Linked DNA regions of Oryzias latipes. The protein of the gene in region 2 binds, or shares a complex with, the protein of the main gene of each other region. Links are inferred from orthologs where the notes say so. Each region holds a gene or a part of one and is shown on either strand. Other genes may lie near its edges.

Region 1 (3,733 bases), on a different chromosome or scaffold from region 2:
AATACAGACTATGAGTTTATCCTTCTTTTTTAAAATTTTTGGATGCTGGTGTGCCGCGGGATTTTTTTTAAGGTTAAAGTGTGCCGTGGCTCAGAAAAGGTTGAAAAACACTGATCTAGACCCACCGACAGTGCTCTGAATCTTTTTTCTTCAATGATTTGTGATCTTCACTGGTGTCCATGGATTACATGAAATCTTTCCACCTTTATCCACCTTTGTCATGGTAGGGAGAACATGTCAATGGGAGGGGGGGTCATCTAAGATAGCACAAGGGTTAATTATGGTCAAAATAAAGGACCAAATCCGTGAAATTCAACCCACACGTATAACTGAAGTGTCCCAGCACAGGAGGAACTGTTTTTCTATCTATAGTATTTTCTCCAGCATCTTACTCCGATACACATTTCTATAATTTATCATTTTAGTCAAATACTAAAATATTTATTCCGATAGTTGCAGCTCAGTTCAAGCATAAGTTAAACTCAATGTAAAATCAGAAACAGTTTTAAGTTTTTCTGCAGGTTAAAAATGATTTTATTATAAAAAAGTATTTTACAGCTGTACAGTACAAAATAAAAGGGGGTGAGTGAGGAGCTCCCTCTGCTGGAGACGGGACGTTACTGCAGAGCGCCCGCAGCCCCCCTTAGGAGTCGTTGGGAAGGCCAAAGAGCTTGACCGTCCCCGCCTCGCGGTTGTTGTCGTACTTGCCCTCCTTGTCGTCGCAGGCGTAGGCCAGCAGGGGTCTCTTTGGGTGCCAGGCGACGGTGAAGGTGGGGGAGTCACACTGCACCTCCCACAGCTTCTCCCCTGTAGGGTGGAGGAGAGATGGGCTTTGAGTGACAGCCGAGTGGGCGGGATCTTCACCGCCTGTGCGGCTGCAGGTTTACTGACCCGTTTCCACCTCCGCGATGTCGATGAAGTGATCCTCCGACGCTGAAGCCAACATCTTGCCGTCGTGGCTGAAGCTCAGCGTCCTCACCGGCCAGTCCAGCCTGCAGCAGAGCAGAGACTCGAACAAAGCTCGCAGCAAACGCCGGACCCTCGGCGGCTCAACCCACCTGGAGAAGCAGCGCACGCACACCAGCTCCTCCACGTCCCACAGGCTGACCAGCGCGTCGGCGCTTCCCGTGGCGAAGTACTTCCCCGTGGGGTCGAACTTGATGCAGATGCAGTTGGACGGGTGAGCGTTGATGGACTGGATGGGCTTCAGCTCCGGGTAACTGCGCAGCACCAGAACCTGTTTTTATTTCAATGTGACCGGTGGGCGCGGGTCGGCATGCGACAGTGGCGCTCTGACCTCAGGATGTTGATGCAGCCGTTGCCGTTGGTCAGGAAGAACATGTCGTTGTCGTTGTTCCAGGAGATCTCGTTCACCTCGAACTTGAACTGCTCCTCCGCCCTGGAGCGGTGCGTCTTTGCGTCGATGAAGGTCACCACGTCGTCCTTGTTCCCGACGGCGATGGTCTGGCCGTCTGGACTCCAGCAGATGTTGATGTTTTCACCTGGAAACAAAGTCAGTTCAGACGTTAAAACGTTCCTCGACATCGTTCCGGGTCTTCAGATCCGTCCCGGTTACCCTTTGTGTTTACGGTGGCGATGCACTTGGTGGTGCGGACGTCCCAGATGCGGATGGTTTTGTCTCCGGACGCCGTAACAAACAGGTCCGGGTTGTTGGGATGCCAGCACAGCTGATCCACGCTGTCGCCGTGACCCCTGTAGTTGTTGTCCTTGACCTGGGGAGAAGACGCACTTCAGTGGTTGGTGGCCATTAAACGTTTAGTACCGTTCTAAAACGGTATGAGTTAACATTTATGCTGCAGTGGGTCTTCCTCCTCCACCGCTGAAGTCTTTGTCCAACACAGAAACATGAAAGTTGGAAGACTTCAGCTTCCTGATGCAAACTCAGAGTCAGGATTCAAACCCAGAACCTCACTAGCTTCAGAACCTCAGATGTGCATCAACTAAGATGATGGATTAAAGAAGCTGACGGAACATTTCATGACTTGAGGTGAATATTTTCCCCTTCAAGTAACTCCCAGCTGGAAACATCAGCTGCTTCTTTTTTTTTAATAGTTTTTATTATTACTTTAGTTTTATTTTGACTTTTTAAGGGCGATCCACAGTGACAAAACACCGCCTTCTCCTCTGAATCCATCACTTCTCTGTTTTTAAATAACCTTCCAAGGAGTTTGGCACGCGCGTCTGTCTTTGTGCTAAAGCTAGCATGCTAGCAGAAAACGAGCCGGTTTCTCACCAAGCGGTCCTTTTCCAGGACGAAAACGCTCGCGGTTTTGTCGAAAGACCCGGACGCCAGCCTCCGGCCGTCGCAGCTCCACGCCACCGAGTGAACTTTCGCCGAATGAGCCGGAAACTCCCGACTTTTGCTGTTATTTCTGAAGCTCTCCTGCATCTCCTGATAGTACTGCGACGCCATCTTGGTCCCACTGTGTGACGTATGGTTTTTAGAGGAGAGCGCGAGGGCCCCCTGCTGGCCGGAGGACCGCGCGTGCAGTTTACTCATCGACCAGTGAGTTGACGCGTTACTGAAGACAGATCTTTGAACTATTGTTACTTTTTGGGAAATTCTTGGATCAACTGGAATTATGGGAAAAGACTTTTGAAAATAGAAAAACCAGATGATCCAGATAATTTCCCCATTGATAATAAATAAATAAAGATAAAATATTTATTATTTAAGATAATTAATCTTATCTTTACAGGCATTAAACATAGACATATTCTCATATTTTTGGAGCATTTTGGAACTAAAGTGTCACAAAGAAATGACAGTATTCTTCAAATAAAACACTTTTTGTGTCACTGACAGGATTTTTCTTTTCCCTGATTTTAGATTCCAGAGATGAAAGAAAATTGCAAAGGTGGTGCTGACATCATCAGGTCAAAAATAACTAATACTTCATATGATATGTGCTTTTATTTAGTACAAACAAATAAGGCAGACCGTAAAATAATCTGTAAAATGTAGACGTGTTTTAAAAAGTGACTTCATTACTTACTTCTGCTAATAATTCACCAATGAAAAAGACAAAGACTGTTTGGTTTGATCTGAACTGCAGTTTATTTCAGGTGTGAAAATTCCGGTTTAAAAACATGGAAACTGGATGCAGAAAATCAGTGTGAGGGTTCAATTCCCCCATCAGAGGGGGGGGGGGGGGGGGGGGGGGGGGGGGGGGGGCGGGTCAAAGCTGCAGGGTTTTACCTGCACAGGTGATCTCACTCTGACTGAGGTTTTCCAGCAGCTTCTAGGGTCAAATTCTTCTCGTCTGGTTTGGGTCTGGAACCTCATGGAAACTCATGGTGACTGACGTGAGACAATCGTCCCTCACGTCTGCATGAAGGTCGATCGTTAGCCATAATGGAGCCGACTCTTGTGAAACATTAGCAGGACCATGTTTGCTCAAATTCAGCAGAAAATGTAGACAACATTCATGCAAAATGGGAGCTGTGTGTCATTCCACCCAAAAAATGTGGATCTATTTGCATATTTCTGTGCCTCTAACTCGGTCGTTTCCCAGATCTCAGTAAGAGCCGAACTTCCTGTCCTGACTTCAGGATCGTGTTTGAATCTACGGTCAAACGTTTTGGCTTTTGCTACGTTTCAGTCAGAAACACACCAGCATTTTTGTTCCAGGTTTTTGTTGCCATAGTTACGGACATCCCAGACTGAACTGTTGGAGGTCCTCAGCAGAGCTGCATCAGCTGCAGCTTCTTC
Region 2 (4,303 bases):
CCAGCTATTCCAGTTCTCCTCTGTGTCGAGGATGTGCTGTTGAAACACAAATATAAGTTAGAATAATGTACAGAGACCCAAAACCTTGACCGGTTGGATATGATGTGGACTCACTTCCACCATGCTGGCAAACTTGTCTCCATCAGGAGGGATTTCTTTCAGCAGCTACAAAACCAAAGAAAAGGCTTCCATCATCCCCTTTTCTTTGACTTTTCAAGACCTCAACAGTTTACATTCAAAACTATAAATTATAAAGTTCATAAATATAAAAAGATTTCCCCATTTTTCCTCCTCAACTGACCTGATAAACCAGTTTAGTCGTCTCTTCGATCCAGGTGGTCTGGTCGTCATTAAGGACACAGCTGGAGCTGCAGGATAAAGATGAAAAAGGATTCTATTTCCCCAACATGACGATGCAGATTTTTCAACGTCGAGTTACATTTGTGCTCAGGTTGAACCTTTTGAATTTGACCTGGCCCTTCAGGTACTGGAAGAGGATGAGGTACTGCAGCAGGATGTGGCGTCTGAAATTACTGTCGCTGAGCTGCAAGTCCATCAGCTGAAAGAAGGAGGAGAGGAACAACAGTCAGCAGTCAGATCCAGATCACAATTTACTCATGAAAAGTGCTTCTCCTGCATTATGCGGCTTAAAAACATAGACAAGCCCACCCTTTCCCCCCTCTGGTAACAGACCCATGACCCCACAAACATCTAATACTTTTAAAAATGACTTCTAACAGAAACGTATGCTGATAAAAGACAAAGTTTCCCACCTTCTCACTGGTGAGGAATTTGGCAAAGTAAACATGTTCTCCATCAGATCCTCTCAGCTCATCCAGCTTCCTCTTGGAGGCCTGCATGTCGTCCAGCTTGTAGCTCTTGAACACAGCTAGAGTCTCATCTGAGAACTGACCAGGAGGTTAGCTATGGTTCGCCACATGCATACGTCTGAAGTTCAGGAACTTTACCTTCAGGAACGTCATCCACAGAAACTTGTCATAGCACTGCACAGGATTCCTGAAGTAGTCCTGCAGCGTCCAAAACTTTCGGTACAAGTTGTAATCAATGGGAATGGAGCTGAAATCGACATTTTGATGAACAGCTTTTCAATCCGAGGAGCATTTGGTGTCAAGAGCAAATCAGAAGTTTGTACGAGGATCGGTAACATTTTACTACAAACCTCTGAGCAGGAGCATCCTCCTCCCCCATTTCTCCTTCTTCCACCTCCATGCCTTCTTCCTTTTCATTTGTGCTCTGGAAAAACATGAAAAAAAAACCGTCATCAGTCAACCCAAACTGTTGGAATCAATCCTCAGGTATAGAAAATCCACCTTTTGGCCAAGAGTGCTTTCTAGTTCATTTTTGTTGAAGACTGTTACATTTTCCAAATTAAACTGGCTCTGCAGGTTAAGACCTAGATGGGAAAAAAAACAAACAAACAAAAAATTCCAATCTAAGATGTCATCTTTGATGTCAACACCCAACAACTGAACAACAAACCCCCTGCTGGGGTCCTCACCTGACTTTTCTGACAGAGGGAAGAGGCGCGCAAGAAACAGCTGGATTCGCCCGCAGAATACCGTGTTCTGAGATTTGGAGAGTCTCCTCAAAAGATCTAAAGGGTCCGAAAAGTTCGTCACTCACTGCTCAAATTTGAAATGATGAATAACATTAGACATGGAGGAGATTTTACCGTTACACATCCTCAATAAATAGTTTTTTCCTGCACTGTAGAAGGAGTTCTGGAAAAAAGGAAAAATACTATTTAATATTACATGACAGATAGACCAATATTTCACATTTGGGGGGGTAAGTTATTTACAGATTTCCAAGTGGAGACGTTCTCTTCGACAAAAGAGAATATTTTGTCGCACAGATCGAGTGGAAGGCAGTCTAGTACGTCTCCCAGCAGGACGAAGGGCGTTGTAGCGGAGCAGATTCCTGCAAAAACAAGAAAACACCGAAGAAAAAAGGTTGAAGACGAGACTTTACACTGTTTTGATTTTAAGACTAACTTCTTTTGAAATAGAGTACCGTAAACGTCCCGGAAACACAACAGTTCCGAAACAAGAGTGGCTAAAATGGACTATTTCTGCTATATAAACATGAACAAGATATTAAAGTCAAAATAATAACAGCTAAAAAAAAAAGGGCCTGTTCATTTGTATTTAAATAAAAGACACGGTTCAACTTTCTGCATTAGCATCACACCTTCTGTGACCGCATCGATGCTCAAGTAGATGAGAGACAGGTAGTCATCACAGCTGGCCTTCTGCTCAACCTACAGAAGAAACGATCAGCCTTTAAGCTTTGCGTACAAATGCAGAACATTGGATAATTTTAAAGAAACAGCTTACAATCTGATCTCCAAGAACGCCCCTCAAAGCCTGATCAAGAGTTGTTTTCTTTTCCGTTTCACTGAAACACACGTCAATGATTCGTTATAGGTAAAAATTACAATTGATAACAAGTCGAAGTGATGTAGACTTACTTCCCAGGGATCTGGTTAAACGATGTGACCAAAGGTTTGCAGGTTTTACCCGTTAGGGCGTGTCTGGCAGCAACCTGAGGACGAAAATGTGAGAATAATACGAAAGAAAACGTCTCTCTTTTCAATACGTTAGCATTATGCTAACAGCTAATGTAGAAAAACAAAACAGAAAATTAATTTAAAAAAACTACTTAAGTTATCACCGTTCTGATCACATCCACCGTATATATATTTATGTGTTTGCATGCCTAATGATTAAAACTCATCCTGCAAACTCTCACCGTAAATTTGTCTTTAACATCGACAAAATTAAACAAGGACGGAGACATCTTTACTGCTGCAACAGGAAGTGCACCTAGAAGTACTTCCGGTCTTTCTGACCGCTCCCTCCCGTTATTTTTTTAAAAATTATTTTACAAAAATTACAAAATAAAATGTAGACATAAATACAATATATAATGCAAACGGAAAAAACATTTATTAAATATTTACATACATAATTGATGACAACTTTAGACGGTTTCCTAAAATTAATACTTAGGGCGACGTAAATACCACATTTGTACAGGTTTGCCAATCTCCACATTTGTAATTTTTCACTTTCTTTAATTCATGTGTTTAAAAAAAAATCATATTTGAAAAAAAACGTCATTGTGAACTTTTTAAAGCTTTTTTTTTTGCTTACAGATAATGATCAATTTTAAATTGTATTTTTAATACATAAAGTTCAGAATAAATGTTAAAAATGTAGTTCGCATTTGTTTCTATCTTTTGAGGAATACATCTTTGTTAGTTTTCTAACAAGGGATTTAGAAATTACACTGATGTGTTTTTTTGCCCTAAAACCACCAAATTGTGCTGCTGTTTGAAACATGTTTTTGAATAAAACTTTATCATACCGTCTTAACACGTGCTATAAAGTTGCGACAATGAGCCAAAGATCCGCGTGTGTTCGATAATTCTCATAATTTGACCTCAGAGTGAGATTGGGGGAAGCTGCCTCACTTCCACATTTGACCTCACGGGGGCAGTGTTGCACACTGTTCTTTCAACTACTGAACCCTTCATCCAGTTTGAAACAAAGCTACGTTTCATCTGCTGGTGACCGGTGTCACTGAATAATGGTGGGATAAATCAAATATTTTAGAAATTTGTAATCATTTGTGTATTCTTTCTCTTCTAAGCTGAAATAAAACTTTAACAATTGTTATTTTAATAAAGTAAATTTTAATTCAATTGCATTGCTGAAACATTAAATCCATTTTTAAACTGAATTGTACAGTTACAATTTTTTTATTTAGTTAGACCTGTGCACTAGGAAAAAGCTCAGTGTCATTCATACTTACATAGCACTGGTTTTGGAGAGGTCACGGTGTTCGATTAGTGTGGTCTATGTATGTCTGTCTGCACTGGGGAACATTTCTGCATGTTGTGGGCGTACATTACAGAGTACAGTGCTGCAGGGCTGGAATGCTTTGATGAAATCTACTGTTGAACAACGTCACATTGCACATTAGAAGCACTGGCCCATTACAGTGTGATGGCAATCATTTAACTTTGCACTTTGTAAAGTGGGTTTCACAGGACAAGACCTATAATTTGTGTCGACTGCAGACTTCATTTCCAAAGAAAAGAATTGCAACAGTAAAATACAAATATAATTTGTGTCTTGCAGGATCAAACAGGTTAATTTTTTCATGCTTGTATGGATGTAAAGGTAACTGCAGCAGGTTTTTCCCTGCAGGACCAGCTTACTTCCAGCTAAGTTCATTCCATTCATGGAGCCCAATTGGACAGATGGTCAAAATGGTT
Region 3 (3,639 bases), on a different chromosome or scaffold from region 2:
CCCCCTGGTGATCCGTTATGAAATGCTGCAACAATCAGCCAGCCAGCTCCAGAGAGAGATGCTGCAGATGATTCAGGACAAGGAGAACTTGGATTTCCTGCTGAAGGAGGACTTTGACATCGGCAGTAAGAGGGCTACTTTGCAGAATCGCCTTAAGCGCCTTTTGCAGGCCCGTGCATACCTAGTAGAGTTCTAAAAACTTTGAAGGATCTGTTTTCTGCATCTCCAAATTACATGTTAGTGTAAATGTTCAGTTGTTGTGTTTGGGTAGTCCAGTAGAATCTGCTGTTTCTAACAGGAATGATTATCTTACAGCAGCAAAAGTCATTATATGGGCACACAGATGTTTTCCTTTTATATATTGTTATAATCACCTCGAGTGTGGAGCATGTTTTTATGTTCATTGTTTTATTTGGGCATATATATAGAGGGAAATTATTATCAGTCTGTGAACTTTGATTTTTTTATTTTTATTTGAAACAATAAAAGGGAAAACCAGACAGAGCGACAGAATCAAGAGAATTTTATTCAAAAATACATACGAAAAGCATTCTGTCTCACAAACCCAAACTCATTTAAGAACATTTCATTCTGTTCCACTGTTATTCACTGTTCCCTGCAGGGCTCTCTTGACTGGCATCTTCAATATCTGACTTCTCATCATCTAAAAGAAGACAAATTTTGAGTTTAACTTTTTGAAACAATTTTAAAATCAGTTGGCATTAAGAATAAAGTGCTCACTCTCAAGTGTCTGTTGTAGCTCCTGAATGGTGGTAAGAAGAACGTGGAACTGCTTCTTCCTCAACTCCAACTATGGTGGAACAGTAAATTTGATAGAAAAAAACAACAACTTTAAAATAAATCAAATCATCAGCGAAATACACAGAAGCTGCATAAATTCTGTTTGGATATACCTTTGCATCCACATTCTCTTTGATGTGGGACAGTTGTTGGAGCTCTTTGTCAAGCGCCTCTAGCTGCCTGAAAGAAAATAAATAAATAAAAATGAAGCAAAACTGTTGTACGCTGTTTACAAGCAATCGAAAATCTGAATTAACGGAGCCACTTACTTGAGTGTTTCATGCCTATCTGGATGCTGCTGGATTACCTTGGCTAATGCATCATATTCTGGAAAAAATACAAACATATTTATAATACTCCAAGGATGTTATTGAAAAAGGACAATAAATAAAATATGCAATCCATATCAAAATATCCTTGCCTTGGCGATTTTTTCGTATCCTCTTTGCCCTCTGAATATCTTTTTTGCATTCTGCAATCTTCTCATGTGCAGATGTGATGTTTTGTTCTGCAATGGGGGGAGGGTGGGGGGGGGGGTATATAGATGAAATCTAATATTGTAAACAGAAATGCTTCCAGACGAGAGCAATAAAACCTCACCTATATTTGAATAGATCTTCTCATAGTTTTCCATTTCTCTAAGATTCATGTCATAAACCATCAACGTCTTTCCCATGGAAAACTCACACTGAGCCAGAGTGCCCAACATCCGCTGGTACTGTGTGAATCTACACGCAAACACAAGACCACAAGGAATTAAAGTGAGATTTTTTGTTGCATATTTAACAAGGAAGACACCATTCTACTCTTCGGGTATATAAAAACACATCATGGAAATGTATAGAAACAGCCTTTTGAAATGCATGGTCAGAGTTGAAACATTGTGCTGTGTGTCACACTCTGCTTGCCATAGATTGTAGAGAAGACAGTTACTCTTCTCCTTGGGTAAGTATAACTGCATGCAACTGAGACCCGTTAACCTTCTATGGAGTTTGATAAACTAGCTTGGAATTGCCTGTACACACAACGTAAGAACTAACTAATGTGACTTTTCTTTCGCAAGAAGAGTTGTTCGTAAATGCTAAATCACATTAAAATCTGGAAAGTAAATCTTCTGATGCGTCAGCTCAGACTCAGATTCATTCAGCACTGACCCTTCCTCCGGAGTCCCGGGCGAGTTGCACCATTTAGTGAAGCTTTTAAGCAGCAGGTTGATCCGGCGGTCATCTCCGGCTCCGTCGCCATCAATAAGAAGACGTTTCCGAATGACTTCATCTTTAACAGAAACGAAAGAGACAAGATAAACTATAGGCTAGATTGCAACCTGCTAATCTGAGCTAGCACTGCAGGGCAATAAATTAGCTGCACAGTTCTCCCAACTGATTGCGTAAACACTGCTACATTCTAGAAATAAGCTATTGTATACAATAACTTAACACATAAACACTTTATTTATTTTTAATAAAACTTTATATTAAACGAAGTAACCACCAAATTACCATCTGTTACGGCCCCCATGTTTGCAATGAGCAATACTATTTCCGGTAGAGCAAGATTCTTTTTCCAGGTTAAAATCAGCGGTTTCATTTTCTACTGCCCCCTATTGGTGGACATTCAATGTGGCAATTTTTTTCCCACATTTTTGTGCTTTTTAGACTCAACAGCAAAATTGAACTTTTATTATATTGCAGAATATTATTGGACTAAAAACCAATGACAGTTTAGAATACAATTGATTTTGTTTTATTTAACATTTTGCTTTTAAAAATGTCAGCTTACATTGTAGCATTACACATTGAATTTTAAATTCTAAAATGCATTTTTTAGATTGAATGCTTAAATTGCAAGCTGAATTATCAATCGAGAATGGCACATTACATATTTTGTTTTACCATTAAACCATTCATTTTTACCATGTAGCATTTAGATATTAAAATAATTGAATTATGAAAGTTTTATCATTTTCTTTCTATTAAAATATTAACTTCCTTTACTTTTGACAGCAGCATATATAGGTTCCTTTCAAACGAAATAAACCTCATGTCAAATTAAATCCTCCAACAGACTCACTTGAATAAAACATGTAAGAAAGTCAGGTCAAACATAGACTTTTCTATCAGTCAGACTTTGCTGCATATTCGTTCTTTTCTACTTTTATAGTCATATATTAACATGACAACATTGGAGCAGAATCCAAATAAAAGAAAGTTTAATAAATAAATTAAAAAAAAAAAAAAACAACCCCAAAACATTATTAGTAACTCAAATCGTTAGCGTTTTTTTTTCAAAACCAAAGAGCCACAATGGAATCATAAAGGAGCTGCATGTAACTCCGGAGCCTCAGGTTGCAGACCTCTGTTCTATAAGAACCTTTAGCTACTAAGTGGCTATTGAGGACAAAGATTTCTATCTAGCTTTAATTTCACCATTTATAATAATTCATAAATAGTAATGTTACTGGTACGGTTATAGGTACAATACCTGCTTCAACTATAGATTTAAACAGGTTTTCATTTGGCCAACATATTTTCTTGGTCACCACTTCCTCGTTTTTTTTCTGACAGATCAATTCAGGTCTGATTTCATGTTTGTTCCTACACCTTAGAAAATTACAATGAAACTTGTTTGAAACTTAATGTGCTCTATTTCTCACCAGAACACCAGCCGTGTGGGCAAATAGAGTTTTGTTATTTAACAAAGGTTCACGCGTATATTAGATTTACAGGAAAACAGTACAAACTTTCAGCAGTTTGCCAATTAGAAATCAGAGGTTAACATATTCATGCCTAGATTTAACCAAACATTTTAAGTGGGAGTGTGTTATGGTTTTGAAAATAC
Region 4 (4,065 bases), on a different chromosome or scaffold from region 2:
TGTTGTTGTGTGTTGTTGTGTTCATGTTGTTTGTGTTGGTTTGTGGTGTTGATGTTGTGTGTTTGCAGTGTTGATGTTGTTGTGTGTTTGTTGTGTTGATGTTGTTGTGTGTTTGTGGTGTTGATGTTGTGTTTCTGTGGTGTTGTGTGTTTGTTGTGTTGATGTTGTTGTGGGTTTGTGGTGTTGATGTTGTGTTTCTGTGGTGTTGTGTGTTTGTTGTGTTGATGTTGTTGTGGGTTTGTGGTATTGGTGTTGTGTGTTTGCAGTGTTGATGTTGTTGTGTGTTTGTGGTGTTGATGTTGTGTTTCTGTGGTTTTGTTGTGTGTTTGTTGTGTTGATGTTGTTGTGGGTTTGTGGTATTGGTGTTGTGTGTTTGCAGTGTTGATGTTGTTGTGTGTTTGTTGTGTTGATGTTGTTGTGTATTTGTGGTGTTGATGTTGTGTTTCTGTGGTGTTGTTGTGTGTTTGTTGTGTTGATGTTGTTGTGTGTTTGTTGTGTTGATGTTGTTGTGTGTTTGTGGTGTTGATGTTGTGTTTCTGTGGTGTTGTTGTGTGTTTGTTGTGTTGATGTTGTTGTGGGTTTGTGGTATTGGTGTTGTGTGTTTGCAGTGTTGATGTTGTGTTTCTGTGGTGTTGTTGTGTGTTTGTGGTGTTGTGCTTTTTGATGTGGAGTTGGTGGAGGAGGACAGGTGGTTAGTGAGGTGCCCCCCCAGGAACCTGTGGACCTTCTCCACAGCAGCATTTATGTCTTTTCTATGAGACGCTTAATGTGTGCAGAGAAGTGGGTCAGGGTTTGAGACGGGTAAAAAGGCTTTTTTGTATTTGTAGCCTTTGTTGGTGTTGAAGAAAAAAATAAAAGAAAGCAGACATACTTTGTGGAGTCCGTGTGAACTTCCTAACCAATGCTTTCAATCCCAATATTTGAAACAGTTTAAAGCTCAGGTTCTGATCTTCTGCTGCAGCAGAACCGTTTGTGGAGTACTGAGATTTTGCGGCTCTGACTCGGTTTTGTCGGTAAGAAACTGGATCAAATGGATCTGTCAGAGGTTGCAGGTTCAGCTGTTGAATCAATAAAATCCTTCTAAGTACACACACTCACGCACACACACTCACGCACACCCACACTCACGCACACACCCACCCACACACACACTCACACACACACACACGCACACAGCAGCTGATTAGAAAAAGCTCAACTGTTCCTGCTGAGCCATCAGGTCAGAAATCTTTGTCACACCACTACAACTCCCAGCATGCCGTGCGTTCCTGTGACGTCATATTCTCGAGCCAGAGGTTTTCGCGCCTTGTGCGCCGCTAGGTTTATTGTCTGGAAGTTCAGTGTTGTTCGGTTCTGGGGGTTCCAGGTCGGCGGCAGGATGGGACCGGTCGAGGTGAGTTACCCGAACACGGACTCGGTTCGCGCGCACAGAATCCCGGTGTCACTTTTATCGAACCGAGCCTGAAGTCCGTCCACGGAGGAGGAGACTCAGACAGACGGCTTCATCATCCGAACCCCGCTCAGGTTCCGTTTCCGCTGGCGAATAAACCGTAAAGGAATACGGAGCCACAGAACCACAAAGTCCAATACCTGATCCAGAACCTTCATTCTGAACAGAACATCAGTAAAAACATTTGGTAGAAAAACCGCAGCGACTTCAGCCAAACGCAGCAAACTGATATTAATGGAGGCTTTATTTATGACACATCCCCTGGGGGGGAGGGGGGGGGGGTGTTACATCATGCTTCACGGTACACGCGTCCCGGTAAAGCGCTAATTAACTGGAGAGAAATTCAGGTTCGAGTCCCACTCAGGCTTCCTCGTCCATAGTATAACATGTTTATAAAGCTCCATATGGCTGTGATGGTCATGAACATCATAACCAACAATAATCCACCGACAGTCACCTTAGAACGAGCTGAATGACCAGACATGCAATCTAATGAATACATTTGTACATCAAATAACTCGGCTGATATTAGCGCTTTACCGTCTTTGTGGACCAGAAACCAGGATGTAAACATTTTACGCTAAAACTCAGTGACGGCTGGCCGGACCGCACTTCACCAGACCACGGTCTGGTTCCGATTCAATGTGACTGAGAAAAGAACCAAAGTTCTGGATGAGTAGCTGCTGTTCTGGATGTTCTAACCGGACTCTGGTTCCGCCCCCAGCTGCTCCACATGTCCGTCTTCTCTCAGAGCTTCTCTCCCTGCGGACGCTTCCTGGCGGCCGGGAACAACTACGGGGAGATCGGCCTGTTCAGGTGAGCGAAACGAGCGCCGCCGTGCACGGGCGGGCGGGCGCGCACGGCGGCGCTCTCAGCTGTGTCTCCGTCTCCAGTTTGTCAGCAGCTCTCAGCCCAGATGCCGGTGCCGCCAGCCTCAAACCGGTCCTGACATTCACAGGTGAGTCCGTCCGGCTGGACCGGGTCCAGGAGAAGGTTCTTCCGGTGATCGTGGTCCGGGTCCGGCAGAAGGTTCTAGTTGAACGTTGGGTCTCGTCCTGCAGCTCACGAGGGTCCAGTCTTCAGCCTTCTGTCGGCGGACGGCGTCCTGCTGAGTGCTGGAAACGGCGAGGTCAGCGCCTGGAGCTGGACCGAGCTCAGCAAGAAGGTGAGGCTCCTCGGAACCAGAACCCCAGTCCTCCTGGACCTCCAGGTGACCTCCTGCCCTTTGTCCTCAGAGCGTAAAGCCCCTGTGGAGCAAGAGACCCACTTACAGGTGAGAACACGCACACACAGACACACACAGACACACAAAGAGACGCACACACAGACGCACACGAAGAGACGCACACACAGACACACACAGACACACACAGAGACGCACACACACATAGACACACACACACAGACGCACACAAAGAGACGCACACACAGACGCACACACACAGACGCACACACACAGACGCACACAAAGAGACGCACACACAGACGCACACACACAGACGCACACAAAGAGACGCACACACAGACGCACACACAGACGCACACACAGACGCACACACAGACGCACACAGAGACGCACACAGAGACGCACACAGAGACGCACACAGAGACGCACACAGAGACGCACACACAGACGCACACACAGACGCACACACAGACGCACACACACAGACGCACCCACACAGACGCACACAAAGAGACGCACACAAAGAGACGCACACACAGACGCACACACAGACGCACACACACAGACGCACACACAGACGCACACAGAGACGCACACAGAGACGCACACAGAGACGCACACAGAGACGCACACAGAGACGCACCCACACAGACGCACCCACACAGACGCACCCACACAGACGCACACACACAGACGCACACACAGACGCACCCACACAGACGCACACACACAGACGCACACAGAGACGCACCCACACAGACGCACCCACACAGAGACGCACCCACACAGACGCACACACAGACGCACACACAGAGACGCACACACAGAGACGCACACACAGAGACGCACACACAGAGACGCACACAGAGACGCACACAGAGACGCACACAGAGACGCACACAGAGACGCACACACACAGACGCACACACAGACGCACACACAGACACACAGACGCACACACACAGACGCACACACACAGACGCGCACACAGACGCACACACAGACGCACACACAGACGCACACACACACAGACGCACACACACACAGACGCACACACACAGACGCACACACACAGACGCACACACACAGACGCACACACACAGACGCACACATAGACGCACACACAGACGCGCACACACAGACGCACACACACAGATGCACACACAGAGACGCACACCCAGACGCACACCCAGACGCACACACAGACGCACATACACAGACGCACATACAGACGCGCACACACAGACGCGCACACACAGACGCGCACACACAGACGCGCACACACAGACGCGCACACACAGACGCGCACACACAGACGCACACATAGACGCACACATAGACGCACACACAGACCCACACACAGACGCACACACACAGACGCACACACACAGACGCACACCCAGACGCACACCCAGACGCACACACACAG

What was found.
Region 1: thoc1 (region 2) and thoc3 share a complex: the UniProt entries of both Homo sapiens proteins name them as parts of the transcription/export (TREX) complex. The link is inferred for Oryzias latipes from reciprocal best matches to the Homo sapiens genes THOC1 and THOC3.
Region 3: the proteins of thoc1 (region 2) and thoc7 are in contact, whole or in part, in a cryo-EM structure (PDB 7APK), measured with the Homo sapiens proteins. The link is inferred for Oryzias latipes from reciprocal best matches to the Homo sapiens genes THOC1 and THOC7. Residues at the interface, in NP_005122.2 of Homo sapiens: Leu10, Arg14, Glu46, Gln53, Arg56, Glu60, Ile63, Ile64, Asp99, Asp102, Cys103, Leu104, Pro105, Arg146, Gln151; in NP_079351.2 of Homo sapiens: Tyr47, Gln51, Leu54, Ser55, Ser58, Gln59, Phe62, Gly65, Lys66, Leu69, Val70, Met73, Arg76, Glu77, Asn80, Ile84, Ile88.
Region 4: the proteins of thoc1 (region 2) and thoc6 are in contact, whole or in part, in a cryo-EM structure (PDB 7APK), measured with the Homo sapiens proteins. The link is inferred for Oryzias latipes from reciprocal best matches to the Homo sapiens genes THOC1 and THOC6. Residues at the interface, in NP_005122.2 of Homo sapiens: Ser227, Pro229, Ile230, Asp231, Tyr232, Leu234, Arg236, Val270, Ser273, Tyr274, Asp309, Leu312; in NP_001334633.1 of Homo sapiens: Leu57, Ser58, Ser59, Glu60, Pro312, Glu313, Lys315, Thr330, Asn331, Gly333, Tyr334, Ala336.

The regions. Positions count from the first base shown.
Region 1 is NC_019868.2:29,382,788-29,386,520, forward strand, and holds thoc3 (THO complex subunit 3), read right to left. Parts: upstream 2,470-3,733; 5' UTR 2,435-2,469; coding exon 2,255-2,434; intron 1,734-2,254; coding exon 1,577-1,733; intron 1,503-1,576; coding exon 1,298-1,502; intron 1,221-1,297; coding exon 1,059-1,220; intron 993-1,058; coding exon 892-992; intron 808-891; coding exon 644-807; 3' UTR 504-643; downstream 1-503. UniProt on the Homo sapiens protein: Component of the THO subcomplex of the TREX complex which is thought to couple mRNA transcription, processing and nuclear export, and which specifically associates with spliced mRNA and not with unspliced pre-mRNA.
Region 2 is NC_019875.2:28,356,306-28,360,608, reverse strand, and holds the start of thoc1 (THO complex subunit 1), read right to left. Parts: upstream 2,857-4,303; 5' UTR 2,821-2,856; coding exon 2,773-2,820; intron 2,566-2,772; coding exon 2,492-2,565; intron 2,419-2,491; coding exon 2,358-2,418; intron 2,282-2,357; coding exon 2,212-2,281; intron 1,942-2,211; coding exon 1,823-1,941; intron 1,743-1,822; coding exon 1,694-1,742; intron 1,616-1,693; coding exon 1,520-1,615; intron 1,415-1,519; coding exon 1,332-1,414; intron 1,255-1,331; coding exon 1,181-1,254; intron 1,078-1,180; coding exon 969-1,077; intron 909-968; coding exon 774-908; intron 560-773; coding exon 459-559; intron 369-458; coding exon 302-368; intron 166-301; coding exon 115-165; intron 37-114; coding exon 1-36. UniProt on the Homo sapiens protein: Component of the THO subcomplex of the TREX complex which is thought to couple mRNA transcription, processing and nuclear export, and which specifically associates with spliced mRNA and not with unspliced pre-mRNA.
Region 3 is NC_019863.2:16,703,332-16,706,970, reverse strand, and holds thoc7 (THO complex subunit 7 homolog), read right to left. Parts: upstream 2,409-3,639; 5' UTR 2,389-2,408; coding exon 2,301-2,388; intron 2,077-2,300; coding exon 1,956-2,076; intron 1,530-1,955; coding exon 1,402-1,529; intron 1,310-1,401; coding exon 1,223-1,309; intron 1,129-1,222; coding exon 1,071-1,128; intron 982-1,070; coding exon 915-981; intron 812-914; coding exon 742-811; exon of another isoform or gene 665-741; coding exon 603-664; 3' UTR 507-602; downstream 1-506. Other genes in the region: interferon-induced GTP-binding protein Mx, read left to right, coding at 1-196. UniProt on the Homo sapiens protein: Component of the THO subcomplex of the TREX complex which is thought to couple mRNA transcription, processing and nuclear export, and which specifically associates with spliced mRNA and not with unspliced pre-mRNA.
Region 4 is NC_019866.2:289,619-293,683, reverse strand, and holds the start of thoc6 (THO complex subunit 6 homolog), read left to right. Parts: upstream 1-1,240; 5' UTR 1,241-1,255; coding exon 1,256-1,393; intron 1,394-2,174; coding exon 2,175-2,266; intron 2,267-2,343; coding exon 2,344-2,408; intron 2,409-2,511; coding exon 2,512-2,615; intron 2,616-2,685; coding exon 2,686-2,723; intron 2,724-4,065. UniProt on the Homo sapiens protein: Component of the THO subcomplex of the TREX complex which is thought to couple mRNA transcription, processing and nuclear export, and which specifically associates with spliced mRNA and not with unspliced pre-mRNA.